Linked DNA regions of Callithrix jacchus. The protein of the gene in region 3 interacts with the protein of the main gene of each other region in a biochemical or structural test. Links are inferred from orthologs where the notes say so. Each region holds a gene or a part of one and is shown on either strand. Other genes may lie near its edges.

Region 1 (4,269 bases), on a different chromosome or scaffold from region 3:
TATTCAGTGTATCAATCATAATCCACGTGGGAAATGTAAGTATTTTTGAAACAGTCTTCATGCCAAGAAGAAAATCTTTGGTTTTGAGAAAGTCAACAGAAGGTACATTTCATTAGCAGTGAGGTCACAGTCAGTCCTGTTTATTCCTATTCTACCAGGAAATGCATCTTTATGTTTCACCTTAAAGTAAGCCAGAATTTAAATAAAGTGGAAGAGTATTATTTGCATTAAGGCGAGTTTAGCACTTAGAGAAAATGTAGATCTGAAAGGAGCAAGCTTCAAGAAAGCTCTTACCTTTAACAGAAAAACAATCACAGATACATACTATTTAGATTTTGATCTCCAACTGATCACTGGGTAAAGTCTACATTGTCTTTGCTGGCTCTGAATTATCTTCACAAACACACAAAATCCATCACTCCAGGGCTTCCTTTTAATCATTGTCACTTTCACCTACCTTTAGCACTGTTCTCCACACCTAAATCCCAAACCGGCCATTCAGATGTTTATTGAAATGTGTCTAATGAGGCTGGGTGCAGTGGCTCACGCCTGTACTCCCAGCATTTTGAAGGCCCAGGCAGGAGAACTGCTTGAACCCATGAGTTTGAGACCAGCCTGGGCAACACAATGAAACTCCATCTCTACAAAAACTTAAAAATTGGCAGGCATGGCACACACTTGTAGTCACAGCAACTCAGGAGGCTAAGACGGGAGGATGACTTGAGCCCAGGAATTGGAGGTTGCAGTGAGCTGTGATGGTGCCACTGCACTCCAGCCTGGGTGACAGAGCCAGACCGTCTCAAGAAAAGAAAGAAAAAAAAAAGAGGGACGGGTGTCTAATTTCAGAATTAGGCAATGCAATTAGTTGAATAAAATAATGTATTGCACACTGTCCACAATTTCTTATGTAATGTACATTTCCTAAGGAAGGCAGGCATGGATTTAGTCATTTATGTTCTAATGCACACTTACTTGCACTATTTAAAGCAACAGCTGGAGTCGGAGAAAACTTTTTTAAAACCAACCTTCTAGTCTCCAAGTCATTACTGGTAATTGATAACTGTTGAATCATCAGCTCCAAAGATCGTATTTCTTCCTTCTTGGAAGAAGAATTCCAGATAAAACTAAACAGAACTGCCCAAACATATTTCATCCTAATAAAGTTATTTATATAACTTATTAGGTAATAATTTATAACTGGGTAATGTTCTTTAGATTTTAAGTGCCTGTCTTCATATAGCTTTACAATAAGGTTGTTTCTCTTAAAATTATTTGTGCACTAGATTAAGTTGAATTAAAATAAAATGTGTTTAACTGTCTTCAAAATAAGACAGGCTATTTTCTTCCCGTAGACTACTGACAGCACGGATTCTGGAAAACCTCTTCTACTTGGTTTTCTGATTCAGTTCAGATTTGTGATTACAAGTCAATCTGACGTAGACGTCACCTAAAAAGAGCTCAGGAAAACTCATAAAATTTGTAATTTTTTCATAATTTGATAACCTTCAAGTCATTCACCAAAAGTCAGACCATGATAGAAAGGGAAGAAAAGCTGAAGAACATTCTTGTTTTACCACAGAGACAAAGACAATGCCAGTTACCTGACCTGAGTCTCCCACTAATGGGTAGCATGTTTACATTTTAACAATAACTTCATAAACAAAAGCAGATATGAGAAGTATTTTCAGTGCATAAAGATTAATATTTTATAAATCCACCTTTCATCTTTCTTCTGGACAGACCGCATCGGACTCCGAAAGTACTTACTGCAATCCAAAGTGTTTTGTAAGTGACACTCCTCAGGAATTAGCCCTAAACGAGCTCACCAAACCCTCCATACATTACGTGGAGAAACCTCCATAATAAGGACATCTCACATAGCATTGTTTTCTAAACATATGGTGCATTTCCATTAATGTTCAGGGTTAGCCCCTAAAGTAACTTTTGCCTTAACAACCCTGGAAGACAGGACCTTTGCTCATCTCACACTTCAAGTGTTCATGAACAACTCTGATAGCCACCAAGTTTCGTTTACAAAATTGCAGCTCGGTCATTCCGGGTTTTACCAAAAAAATCGTAATTTTGCAAAAGGCAGAAGATGTAATCTCGGCAATTATTTACTCTTAATTTTTCTTTCACCTCAGACCTTCAACGAGAGGTTGAAAAGGAAACATTCGAAGGGGCAAGAAGTTTAGATCCATCTGGAGGAGTTTCTGTGGAGCCCAACCATCCTCACCAGGTGCCTTCCATTAGAGTTTAATGCTTTGCTGGGGTTTCCTGAAAGAGCCCCACAGAGAGTGGGTCTCGATGGGTACTGAACCGCACGACCACCGCCGGCCAGGGGATGGAGGAAGGCGAGGGGGGACGGCGGCGGAGCGAGGGCTTCGGGACCCCGCACGGTCCGAGGGACCGCGAGCGAGGAGAGGGGATGCGGGGCCGACTGGCGTCCCCGGCGAGGCTGTCTTCTCGGTAACGCTCAGAGCGGGAGAGGACGGGGGGCGCTTGGAACACACACATTGGGGCCCCAGGCCGGCGTCAGTGAACTGGGGAGCCCAGCGGCGTGGGCCGGGGTAGGCACGGGCACTTTGGCTCCGTCATTGACAGTTGGCAACGGGGGTCCGGTCGGCCGAGGCGGGGCGTGGCGCCGAACCGGGACGCGGGGCGGCGCAGAGAGGCTGTACCTGGCAGGCACCCACGTACCTAGCATGGTCACTGGGCAGGTGGCTGTTGCGCGACAGACAGGGGGCCTACGCTCGCACGGGCAACCGCCCGCACCTGCCACCAGCGGCTCTCCCGAGTTAAATCGTCCAGGCCTCCCCGCCCCCGCGCCCGGCCCTAACAATGCGCACGCGCGGACGGTACGCGGCCCTGGGCCTGCTGGGAGTCGTAGTTTTAATGCGTAGTTTCTTCTCACGTCTCCTCCCCACGTCCCTACCACCGCCCTTTCCGGCTTCAGGCCCAGGAAGCTTACGTCACAGGGGAGGCGGGCAGAGCCCTGCGCCCACAGTGTTGACCAGTCGCTTAGCAACCGGGAGGCTTACCTTTGGAAGCTTGTTGCAGCTCTAGCCACGGTCCTGCCCTCTTCCCGCCCCGCCCCTCCCCTAAACTCCCTTCACCAAGGAGCTGCCAAACATCTGGATCAACCTGGGCACTACAAAGGGTTGAATTTCTACCATTAACGCGCCTTTTGACATTTTTTTCCCGACCTCCTGCTCACATCCGTAAAATCCACTGATTCTTTTACTACACTTTTTATGAGAACAAGATATTTTCTAGGAAGATGGTGGCAGAAAAAGAGACCCTGAGCTTAAACAAATGCCCAGACAAGATGCCGAAGAGGACTAAGCTGCTGGCACAACAGCCTCTCCCGGTGCACCAGCCTCACTCCCTGGTTTCTGAGGGCTTCACAGTCAAAGCCATGATGAAAAACTCAGTCGTAAGTGATCTTCCTGAATTAAATGCACTTGCTCCGAATCAGGGGACACGAGATTTACAGAGGTTGGCCAGCCATAGGATGGACTCTGAGCCCAAGCCCTGGGTGGTCTTTGCCAAAAATGGCAATTACTTGGCAAGTAGCAGACGGTATCCCACAGCGTGTGGAGGGCAGGCTAAGTTGTTAGAATCTTGGGCAAATGATGTACTCTGCCCATTTATAAGCACCTCCCCGATAGCTCACAGTTTGCGCTATTTACACCAGGAAAAAAATCCCCCTTACTTACTAATTCCTAACTATCCCTACTCAGCGAAGAGCCTTATAGTAGGTGAGTTCTTAGAAATCATAAACTCTTGCAAAATTTAACATGAGCTGATATACAACTGAGCTGATATAAACTCAAGTAATCTATAATAAGAAATTTCTTCTCTTCAACCTAGGAAATTTTAGAATACCCTAGCATTTACTTTTACACTTGGCTCTTACAAAATGATGTCAGCTTGTTAGAGTACTGGAAGCCAACTTAATATGAACACTGTTTCCTGATAGGCCTTTTTAGATGATGTGCTTTAAACAATACAAGCTTTAGCTCATTTATCTCTGCTACTAATACAATTCAAATTTGTCTCTATTATTTGTAGTAATAAAAATAAAATATCTTAGATATCATTAGAGAAAAAAGATTAAAAATACATACAGATATTTTAGCTATATACATGATAGTGTATTTTTTAAAAACCTTCCTATTTTTTAAATAGCTTTACACTTGGTATGCTGAGCCAGATTTTGCTACTTAGTAAGCACCTGTCTGGGAATGAGGCATTAAATAATAAATG
Region 2 (4,077 bases), on a different chromosome or scaffold from region 3:
TACATCATCAGCAGAAACAAGAAGTATAGACTTGCTTCTGGTTTTCTTTCCGCCCTAATGTCTGTATAATATGATTTTGCAGCTCTCCAACAGAAAGCCTCAGCAAGAGTTGGTTTAACTTCCTCAAGTCCACTCCCATCCCCAAGGACAGAGACAATCACTTTCCTTGTATTGGAAGTAGAGCCACTTGTTGCTTTAATAGGCCAAATGTGTCTGGACCTGCAGGAGGAGGCACCTTTCATAAAGAGCTTCTCAATTGCACTGCAACCTGTTCTGGCATCCTGACATTGTCCCTAAACCCCAGCCAGTGAAAGAGAAAGGCATTCTCAATCTATGGGGACACTTCTGCCTGCCCCCTTTCTTATTCCTGCCATCATCTCTTTCCTGCAGTTTCTTACAGGCAAAAACTGTCACCAGGTGCACCAGATACATCTCTAGAAACAGGAGGGAGCCTTACACCTGTCAGTACTAGAGAAGAAAATAGACTCTGTGGAGTTCTCAGTTGTTCCATCTCTGCAAAGAAGAAAAGAGAAGGGATGCGTCCGAGGTTTCCGACACAGAAGTGCTGGGGAAATGCGTCAGTTCACAGAGCTCTGACTCTAGTGACCACTGAAGACCAAGGATGCACTCCCATGCCTGGTGTCTCCCCTTGGCTTCTGTTTCCTTGCAGCCAAGCTCAGCGCCTGGCCCTGGAGACCCCTTTGGGTAAAGTGTCTTTAAGTCGTGAATCAGGCTCTTGTGTGCATGTGTGGCTTTCTTAGCAAAAACTAGCACAGGCGGCTCAGGAGTAGAGCCTAGCTAGGGTCTTCCCACGCCCCTCCCTCACTGGCTTCTCTGCCTCTCCCTGGGGTTTTCCCAGAGCTAAGAGCCTAGGCTCCGGACCTAGGGTTTGGGAGCAGTCAGCCCAACGTCCTCGCCCTATCCCGCGGCTGATGACACCCATGCCCAGAACGCCTGGGTGTGGGTGCAGGCGGGCAAGAGGCTTCCACAGTGAGTTGGGGGCCAGAGCCCAGCTCGCAATCCCTAGATTCCCTGGGGACCACGAAACTCCCATTCTGAGGAAACCTCCCCCCATTCCCCAGCCGCCCACCCATTTTCCCCCCTTACCTCAGCACGCAGCCCCTCCCTGCGTGATGATGCAAACCAGTGGGGAGGGCGGGCGCTGGGAAGGGTGGGGAGAGAAGCGAGCCAGCGAGGGAGGGAGGGAGTGGGAGGAGGAGGAGAGGGAGCCGAACGACCATTTAAAGCGATAGCAATCCCTGCCCTCTCCCCAGTGCTGGGCTGTAGGAGAGAGCGAGCTGCACGCTGGTGAGCGCGAGCGCGGCGTGCTGGCCGGCGAACCAGAGAGCGCGAGGAGCCCCAGGCTGGCAGGCGCCTCGGGACCCCTCACCCTCTCTGGTCGCCCCTCCCCCGACTCCCCCACCCTTCGTGCCTGGAGGAGCCCCTGGGCTTTCCCGGAGGAGCAAACCCAGAGGGGCCCGGACCTCGGCGATCCCACAACCGTCCCCTCCAGCGGCTGCCGCCACCGCAGCAGCCAGAGCAGCATGGTCCAGCTGAGGAAGCTGCTCCGCGTCCTGACTTTGATGAAGTTCCCCTGCTGCGTGCTGGAGGTGCTCCTGTGCGCGCTGGCGGCAGCAGCACGCGGCCAGGAGATGTACGCCCCGCACTCAATCCGGATCGAGGGGGACGTCACCCTTGGGGGGCTGTTCCCCGTGCACGCCAAGGGTCCCAGCGGAGTGCCCTGCGGCGACATCAAGAGGGAGAACGGGATCCACAGGCTGGAAGCGATGCTCTACGCCCTGGACCAGATCAACAGTGATCCTAACCTACTGCCCAACGTGACGCTGGGCGCGCGGATCCTGGACACTTGTTCCAGGGACACTTATGCGCTCGAACAGTCGCTCACTTTCGTCCAGGCGCTCATCCAGAAGGACACCTCCGACGTGCGCTGCACCAACGGTGAACCCCCGGTTTTCGTCAAGCCGGAGAAAGTAGTTGGAGTGATTGGGGCTTCGGGGAGTTCGGTCTCCATCATGGTAGCCAACATCCTGAGGCTCTTCCAGGTAGGGGGGCGCTCCCTCCGGGGCGGAGCACGCCGTGGCTACCTGCGCCCTTAACCCTAAAAGCTCACTTGGACTCCGGTGGTTCGGTCAGGTCAGCCTTCACTCATTTCCACCCTGGAGATCCTGCCGAATCCCTCCCACCCTGCCCAAGGAGATACCTTCCCTGCTTGGTTTATTTCCCTTCCATCTCTCCCCTGTCCACGCTCCACTCCATCCGGCTTGACATCCTGGATTTATGGCCCCATTTACAAGAAGCAATCTGCGAAAAACAAGGCGATGATTTAAATGGGTTTGCATTAGAGTGAAATATGGTGCGAAAGCAGGCTTGTGAAAGTGCCAGGCTCCTAGGAGAGCTAGTAAAGAGGAATGGAATAGGAAAGATGAGAAGATGCCTGGAAACCCGGCATTTCTCAACTCCCCTGCTTCCCACCGTCCCCAAGTCATCCTGCAAACGTGCACTCCCCTGGAAAATTTGGAGACGATCTTAAGGAGGCACTTCTTAAATCCAGGGCTTGGTCTTTAACCTAGAAGTGGATATTAAGTCCCCACCTCCCTTGGGTTGATTTCCTGACCTGTAGCCAGCCTCGGCAAGAGCCAAGGTCCTAAGGTGCTGGGACCTTCTTCAGGTGGAGAGATGCTGCCCGCAGACGTGACCCTCAGTTGGTTTGCTCCCGGCAATTTTTTGCACCGTCTAAATTGCAATTGCAATCCAGCCACTGGCCGGAGCTGGGCGATCAGCTTTCCACTCCTGCCACTTCAGACCTCAGCCCAGAGATGAGCTCATACTAACTGCGAAACAAATAGCTCTCCCTGCCTCCTCCCTTCGCCCCCCCTCCACCCACCCACCACCTCCCTGGTGCAGACCCCAAGCCAAATTCTCGGTTTGGAGGAGGATTCCCGGAGCAAGGCACGAAGGCGCCCGTTGGGAGGCAGAGAGGTGCCTGGAGCAGGGCCCCCTGGTCCTCCCGCTCCAGTGCCGGAGGGCGACTAAGAAAAAATGGGAGGAAGGTGGATCCGGGGCCGCTGAGCGGTGGGTTCTACCGCAGTGTTCTCTTGCCACCTACTCCCACAGCCTCTGCCCCTTGGCTCCCGATCTGCATTGGGTAGGAATGAGTGGCTTTGGGGTTTGGAAATTGAGTTTCAGGGTCTCTGTGATTGTAGGTTCCCTCTTCTGTGTCTCCCTATATGTGCATCACTCTCTCTTTCTGTCTCTGTCTCCTTTGCTGTTTTTTTCCCCTCCCTTTCAATCTTTGCCTCCTTTTCCCCTCTGTCTTCATTCCCAAGTTCTTGGTTCATCTCAGTATTAATATGACCCTTTCCCAATGCCTAGCGGCTCTCTCCCTGCCTGGTGGTACCTAAACCCAGCTAATCTCTTCCTCAGATGTACACATTGATCCTGGCACCTTTATGCTCCTCATATGTAGAGAACCGGCCCCTCTCAAGTGCTTTCCGGAAAGGTGTTGGGTTTCAGAAGGGGACACTGTGAGACCCAGGGCTGTCACCACATCACCTCCAGGAGTGTGAAGTTTGCATTCAGGAGGAGTGCTTATCCTAGGCTGCAGCTTGCATGGCCCCTCTGAACCTCTGAGCATCCCTGACACTTTCTTTGTGCTATCATGGAGATCCTTAAAGGATTGAAAACCAAAAGTGCTTTGGGGCTAGCCATCACTTTGAGTTCCTTGCTCTAAGGAAGAACTTGATTTGTAGCTGAAACCCAGAGTGCTTACTTCATCTTTGAGCTTAAAGCTAGACAAGTTAAGGTAGTAGTGCAGTGGGAGAGGATGAGGTCAGAGACCTTACCTGAGAACCACTGGGGGCTGGGGGAAGTTACAGTGTTTTCCCTGTTAGCCCCTGGGGTTAAAGGCACAAATGTTTTGTGTTTAGAATTTTTAAATTATTTTACTGCCTGTATCTTTACTTACCATTGGCAGTACTGCAGATGAGTCTGTCTCTGTCTGAAAAAAAATAGTGAAATGTTAAAGTCAAGAAAGGGATTGCAGATTAGGCTGAGGGA
Region 3 (4,408 bases):
TTGGCTGCCCAGCTTTTTCTCTCCCTCCCTTGGATAAAACAATAGCACTCTGTGCTGAAACATGCACAGTTCTTGGAGTTCTGCAGATGTGGGATCAAACCCCGTCAAATCTGCCATTTATCAGCTATGGGACTTGGTTTTATTTTTTTCCTCTTTTTTTTTTTTTTGAGACGGAGTTTTGGTCTTGTTCCCCAGGCTGGAGTGCTATGGCACTACCTTGGCTCACTGTAACCTCTGACTCACCGGTTCAAGCAATTCTCCTGCCTCAGCCTCCCAAATATCTGGGATGACAGTCACAGGTGCCCACCACCACGCCCGGCCAATTTTTTGTATTGTTTTATCATTATTATTTTTTTTAAAGACGGGGTTTCACCACGTTGGTCAGGATGGTCCCAAACTCCTGACCTCAGGTGATACATCCACCTTGCCCTCCCAAAGTGCTGGGATTACAGGTGTGAGCCACTGCACCTGGCCAGCTATGGAACTTGGGTAAGTTACCCTCTGTGCATCTCAATTTCCTCATCCATAAAATGGGGATGAGCACCCTTATCCAAGTTCTTCTAACCATGCATGGAGGCCACTAACAGCAACCCAATCCACAGCAGGCACTCCATAAAAATAGGTCCCCCTTCCCTTTCATTCATTCGATCTCTGCGATTTGAGACAGGTTCTGTCCTTGTCACCTTATCAGGCATCTAGGGAATCTGACGGCTACCTGCTGAAGGAGTTAACTATCCACCTCCCACCTCCTCATTACCTCTCAGTTTCCACTATAAACTAGCATTGACTGGTGTTTCATGGTAAGTACTTGCGCTGATTCACTTATTCATTCAAAAAACATTTGCTACCAACCTACTGACATCAAGCCCCTTACTAAGCGCTGAGCGCAGAGAAAGGCATTGCACTCACTCCTTGATCCGAAAGAGGATACATTGTAATGGGAAGACAAATCTAATTTCTGAAAATCTACTAATAACCTATGTTGGGAAGGAAGGTATGTCTACAACATTCCTATCCAACCTTCAAAACCTGGCTCAACTGCCACCTTCTCCATGAAGCTTTCCTTGATCACCCCAGCGGAAGCACTGCTCCATCTGCTTTCTCTCCTTGTCACCAAGTCATGCTAATAGTGCCCTTATGGAACCGAGCTGTGATTATCCCTTTAACTGTCCATAGTCCCCTACAAATAGTGAGCTCCTGGAAGAGCAGGGTGCACTGCTGCTTCAGCACAACACCTGCTCCACCGCTGAGACGCAAGGGTTTGTGGGACTGGCAAGTCCAGGGAAATAAGGGACTTGGGGTTCCCATGCTCCTGGAACTTGGGGGAATAAAATACTCACAGTTTATCCTCCTCGATGTCATAATCCAAGTCTGCAAACATGGTTCCGAGAGTTGGAGCAGGCGGGCTAACTGCCCAGCTCGGTAGGGGAATAGGGGACTGGATCTGGGAGAGAAAGGAACATAGGATTTAGGGAACCGAAGTGCCTGAATGTCAACACCACCCCTTCCTCCACCACCCTCATACGGGACAGCAGGGCCCTCTTCTTCCCCTCTGGAGTGGGATGGGGCAATCTCCGGGTAGGGGGGGCTGGGTAGGTGATTCTTACTAGGTACAAGGGGGGACTCAAGGCCAGGATGATGGGCTCAGATCCCAGAGCCCGGCCCAAGGGTCTCCAGGTCCTGGGGAGCTGCCTCTGTTGCTCACCGGAAGCGTCAGTCCCAGAGCCGGGTTCGGGCCAGGCTGGTACCTGAACCCACCTGCCGTTCCACCTGGCGGTGGCCGCGACTATCACGTCACTTCCAGTAAGACGCGGAAGTCCCGCCCTTTCCCCGCTGGGTGTTTGCCCCAATCCCTGCAGACAATCCTTCCCTCACCCGCTCCCGGGACTCTCGGAACCAAGAACAAGAACAAGTATTGGCAGAGGCTCGCTGTTAGTAGGAACAAGCGGAAACAGAGGAAAAGTCTGGACAGGCTGACAGCGTCTAACCCCGCCCTTTGCCCTGACGCCGCCGCCATCTTGGGAAGGGCAGGGTTTGTCCCAGCTTCCTCAGCGGCACTCAGGGACCCGCGCCGGGTGGCGGTTGCCAGGGCAACGGAAGCATCTCTGAGCTGGGGTTACCTCCCGCGAGGCTCAGTGGAGTATAAACCCCGAGACCTGCCCTTTCACCCCTTAACCACCTGGGCCTGTGACTCCCCTACTAGAAAGGCCCTTTGAGGTCCCAGCGCATCCCAGTTTCGCAGGCGAGGAAACTTAAGTGCCAAAGAGCCGGCAGTGATTTTGTGCAGAGCCACACGCAGTTGGTATAATATCTGGACTGTGGCCTCGAAACTCCCGCCGCCTAGTCTAGTCTAGGGATCTTTGAACATCCGAACACTAAGCAGAGAGCCGGGAGTGGTGTATTCAGTGGATCTTGCTATTAAGATTGGACATGCCCCCTTCCCTCTATGTGCTTGAGTTTCCCCATATGTAAACTAAGGCCATATGGTCAATGCTTTCTATGGTATATGGTGAAACATTTCTCACCCCCCCCATCTCCTTCCTTAGTCCTGAGGAGCAGCCACCCTGGGGTCCCACGGAGGGTCACAGCCCCCATGTACCTGAGGCTCGGGAAACGTCATCAGTGCTCCCCTGTCGAAGCTTTCTCTCCAGCCTCTGCTGCCACTGCTATTGTGTAAAGTGGATTCCCTGCGGGAGGCTGGATCTCCCAGAGCCACAGCCATGCCTCCACCTCATCCCGACAGCACGGGGCCAGGGCCATCCAGCTGGCTTCCCTAGCTGCCCCAGGGGCCACAGAGGAAAGATGCAGAAGGATGGATATCCACATATCCCACGGGCGATGGAAGCCCCACCCTACTCTCTCCTTAGGGAGCTAATCTGAGTCTGGACAGATGTGTAGAATGCCGTGATAGCAACAGCCTTCCCACGTGTCCACTGCTCTCCAGTCAGATCACTTTCACAGGATTTTCAAGCTCACCACCACCCTGTGAGGAGAGACCAAGTCTTGCCAGCCACAGTGTGCAGGCAAGGAAACTAAGGCCCAGAGAAGTCTCTTCCTCTGGTATCCTAGTGGCAAGACTAGGGCTGGGACAACCAAGCTCTGTTTCCAGGCCAGACTTTTGGTTTTAAAAAGCAACAGTCTAAGGCCAGGCATGGCGGCTCATACCTGTAATGTCAGCACTTCAGGAGGCCCAGGCACACAGATCATCTGAGGTCAGGAATTCAAGACCAGCCTGACCAACATGGAGAAACCCTGTCTCTACTAACAACACAAAAATTAGCTGGGCATGGTGGCACGCTTCTGTAATCCCAGCTACTCAGGAGGTTGAGGCAGGAGAATCGCTTGAACCCTGGATAGCAGGAGTTGCGGTGAGCCAAGATTTCACCACTGCACTCCAGCCTGGGTGATAGAGCGAGACTCCATCTCAACAACAACAACAAAAAAGATTAAAAGGAGAAACAGGTATGAGTGCTTTGTAAACAATTTGCATGGCACAGCTGTCACTCTGACCTCAAAACCCCCTACCCACTCTGGCCCCTCTTCCCAGGTGGGGGCAAGATGCCCCTTTTTTCTGCTTCATCCATCCCTTACCTCCAGGCCCCGATCTAATTTGCCTCCTCCCGGCAGTGTCAGCAGACAAGCTTAGCTCATATATGTTGCTCCCTTTCTGAGCTCCTGAGTATTTGCTCTCTGAATCATTCATTCAGCAGTTTGCTATGACTTGGCCTCGTGAGATCGCTCCATGGTTTTCCTGCGCCAATTCTGCGATGAGTAATTTATTGCATGTCTGTGTTTTGTCTGGAAAGGCTTTTTCTCCCTTAAATTTGGGGCTCAGATCTCGTAACTTGACAAATTATAAACTGCTTCTCCCTGTCCCTCTTTTTATTGTGTTCTCTTTCTCTACTTTTTCTTTTTTTTGAGACAGAGTCTTGCTCTTTCGCCCAGGCTGAAGTGCAGTGGCACAATCTCGGCTCACTGCAACCTTTGCCTCTTGGGTAAAGCGATTCTTCTGCCTCAGCCTCCTGAGTAGCTGGGACTACGGGCACCTGCCACCACACTCAGCTATTTTTTTTTTTTTTTTTAAGATGGAGCCTCGCTCTTATTGCCCAGGCTGGAGTGCAAATGGCGAGATCTTGGCTCACTGTAACCTCTGCTTCCTGGATTCAAGTGATTCTCCTGCCTCAGCCTCCCGAGAGGCTGGGGCGATAGGCGCCCACCACCACACCTGGCTAATTTTTTGTATCTTTAGTAGAGACGAGGTTTCACCATGTTGACCAGGCTGGTCTTGAACTCCTGACCTCGTGATCTGCCCAACACGGCCTCCCAAAGTGCTGGGATTACAGGAGTAAGCCACTGCACCTGGCCTAATTTTTGAATTTTTAGTAGAGACAGGGTTTTACCATGTTGG

The links. The genes of interacting proteins can lie anywhere in the genome.
Region 1: the proteins of PICK1 (region 3) and PRKN form a complex in vitro, tested with the Homo sapiens proteins (3 studies listed by BioGRID and IntAct, with this or other methods). The link is inferred for Callithrix jacchus from reciprocal best matches to the Homo sapiens genes PICK1 and PRKN.
Region 2: the proteins of PICK1 (region 3) and GRM7 form a complex in vitro, tested with the Homo sapiens proteins (2 studies listed by BioGRID, with this or other methods). The link is inferred for Callithrix jacchus from reciprocal best matches to the Homo sapiens genes PICK1 and GRM7.

The regions. Positions count from the first base shown.
Region 1 is NC_133505.1:169,264,562-169,268,830, forward strand, and holds the start of PRKN (E3 ubiquitin-protein ligase parkin), read right to left. Parts: upstream 2,806-4,269; 5' UTR 2,708-2,805; coding exon of another isoform or gene 2,701-2,707; intron 1-2,700. Other genes in the region: PACRG (parkin coregulated gene protein), read left to right, coding at 3,281-3,436. UniProt on the Homo sapiens protein: Functions within a multiprotein E3 ubiquitin ligase complex, catalyzing the covalent attachment of ubiquitin moieties onto substrate proteins. Substrates include SYT11 and VDAC1.
Region 2 is NC_133516.1:63,898,804-63,902,880, forward strand, and holds the start of GRM7 (metabotropic glutamate receptor 7), read left to right. Parts: upstream 1-1,272; 5' UTR 1,273-1,544; coding exon 1,545-2,063; intron 2,064-2,221; exon of another isoform or gene 2,222-2,322; intron 2,323-2,635; exon of another isoform or gene 2,636-2,839; intron 2,840-2,943; exon of another isoform or gene 2,944-3,166; intron 3,167-4,077. UniProt on the Homo sapiens protein: G-protein coupled receptor activated by glutamate that regulates axon outgrowth through the MAPK-cAMP-PKA signaling pathway during neuronal development.
Region 3 is NC_133502.1:209,055,428-209,059,835, reverse strand, and holds the start of PICK1 (PRKCA-binding protein), read right to left. Parts: upstream 2,885-4,408; 5' UTR 2,723-2,884; coding exon 2,600-2,722; intron 1,794-2,599; exon of another isoform or gene 1,608-1,793; intron 1,445-1,607; coding exon 1,341-1,444; intron 1-1,340. UniProt on the Homo sapiens protein: Probable adapter protein that bind to and organize the subcellular localization of a variety of membrane proteins containing some PDZ recognition sequence.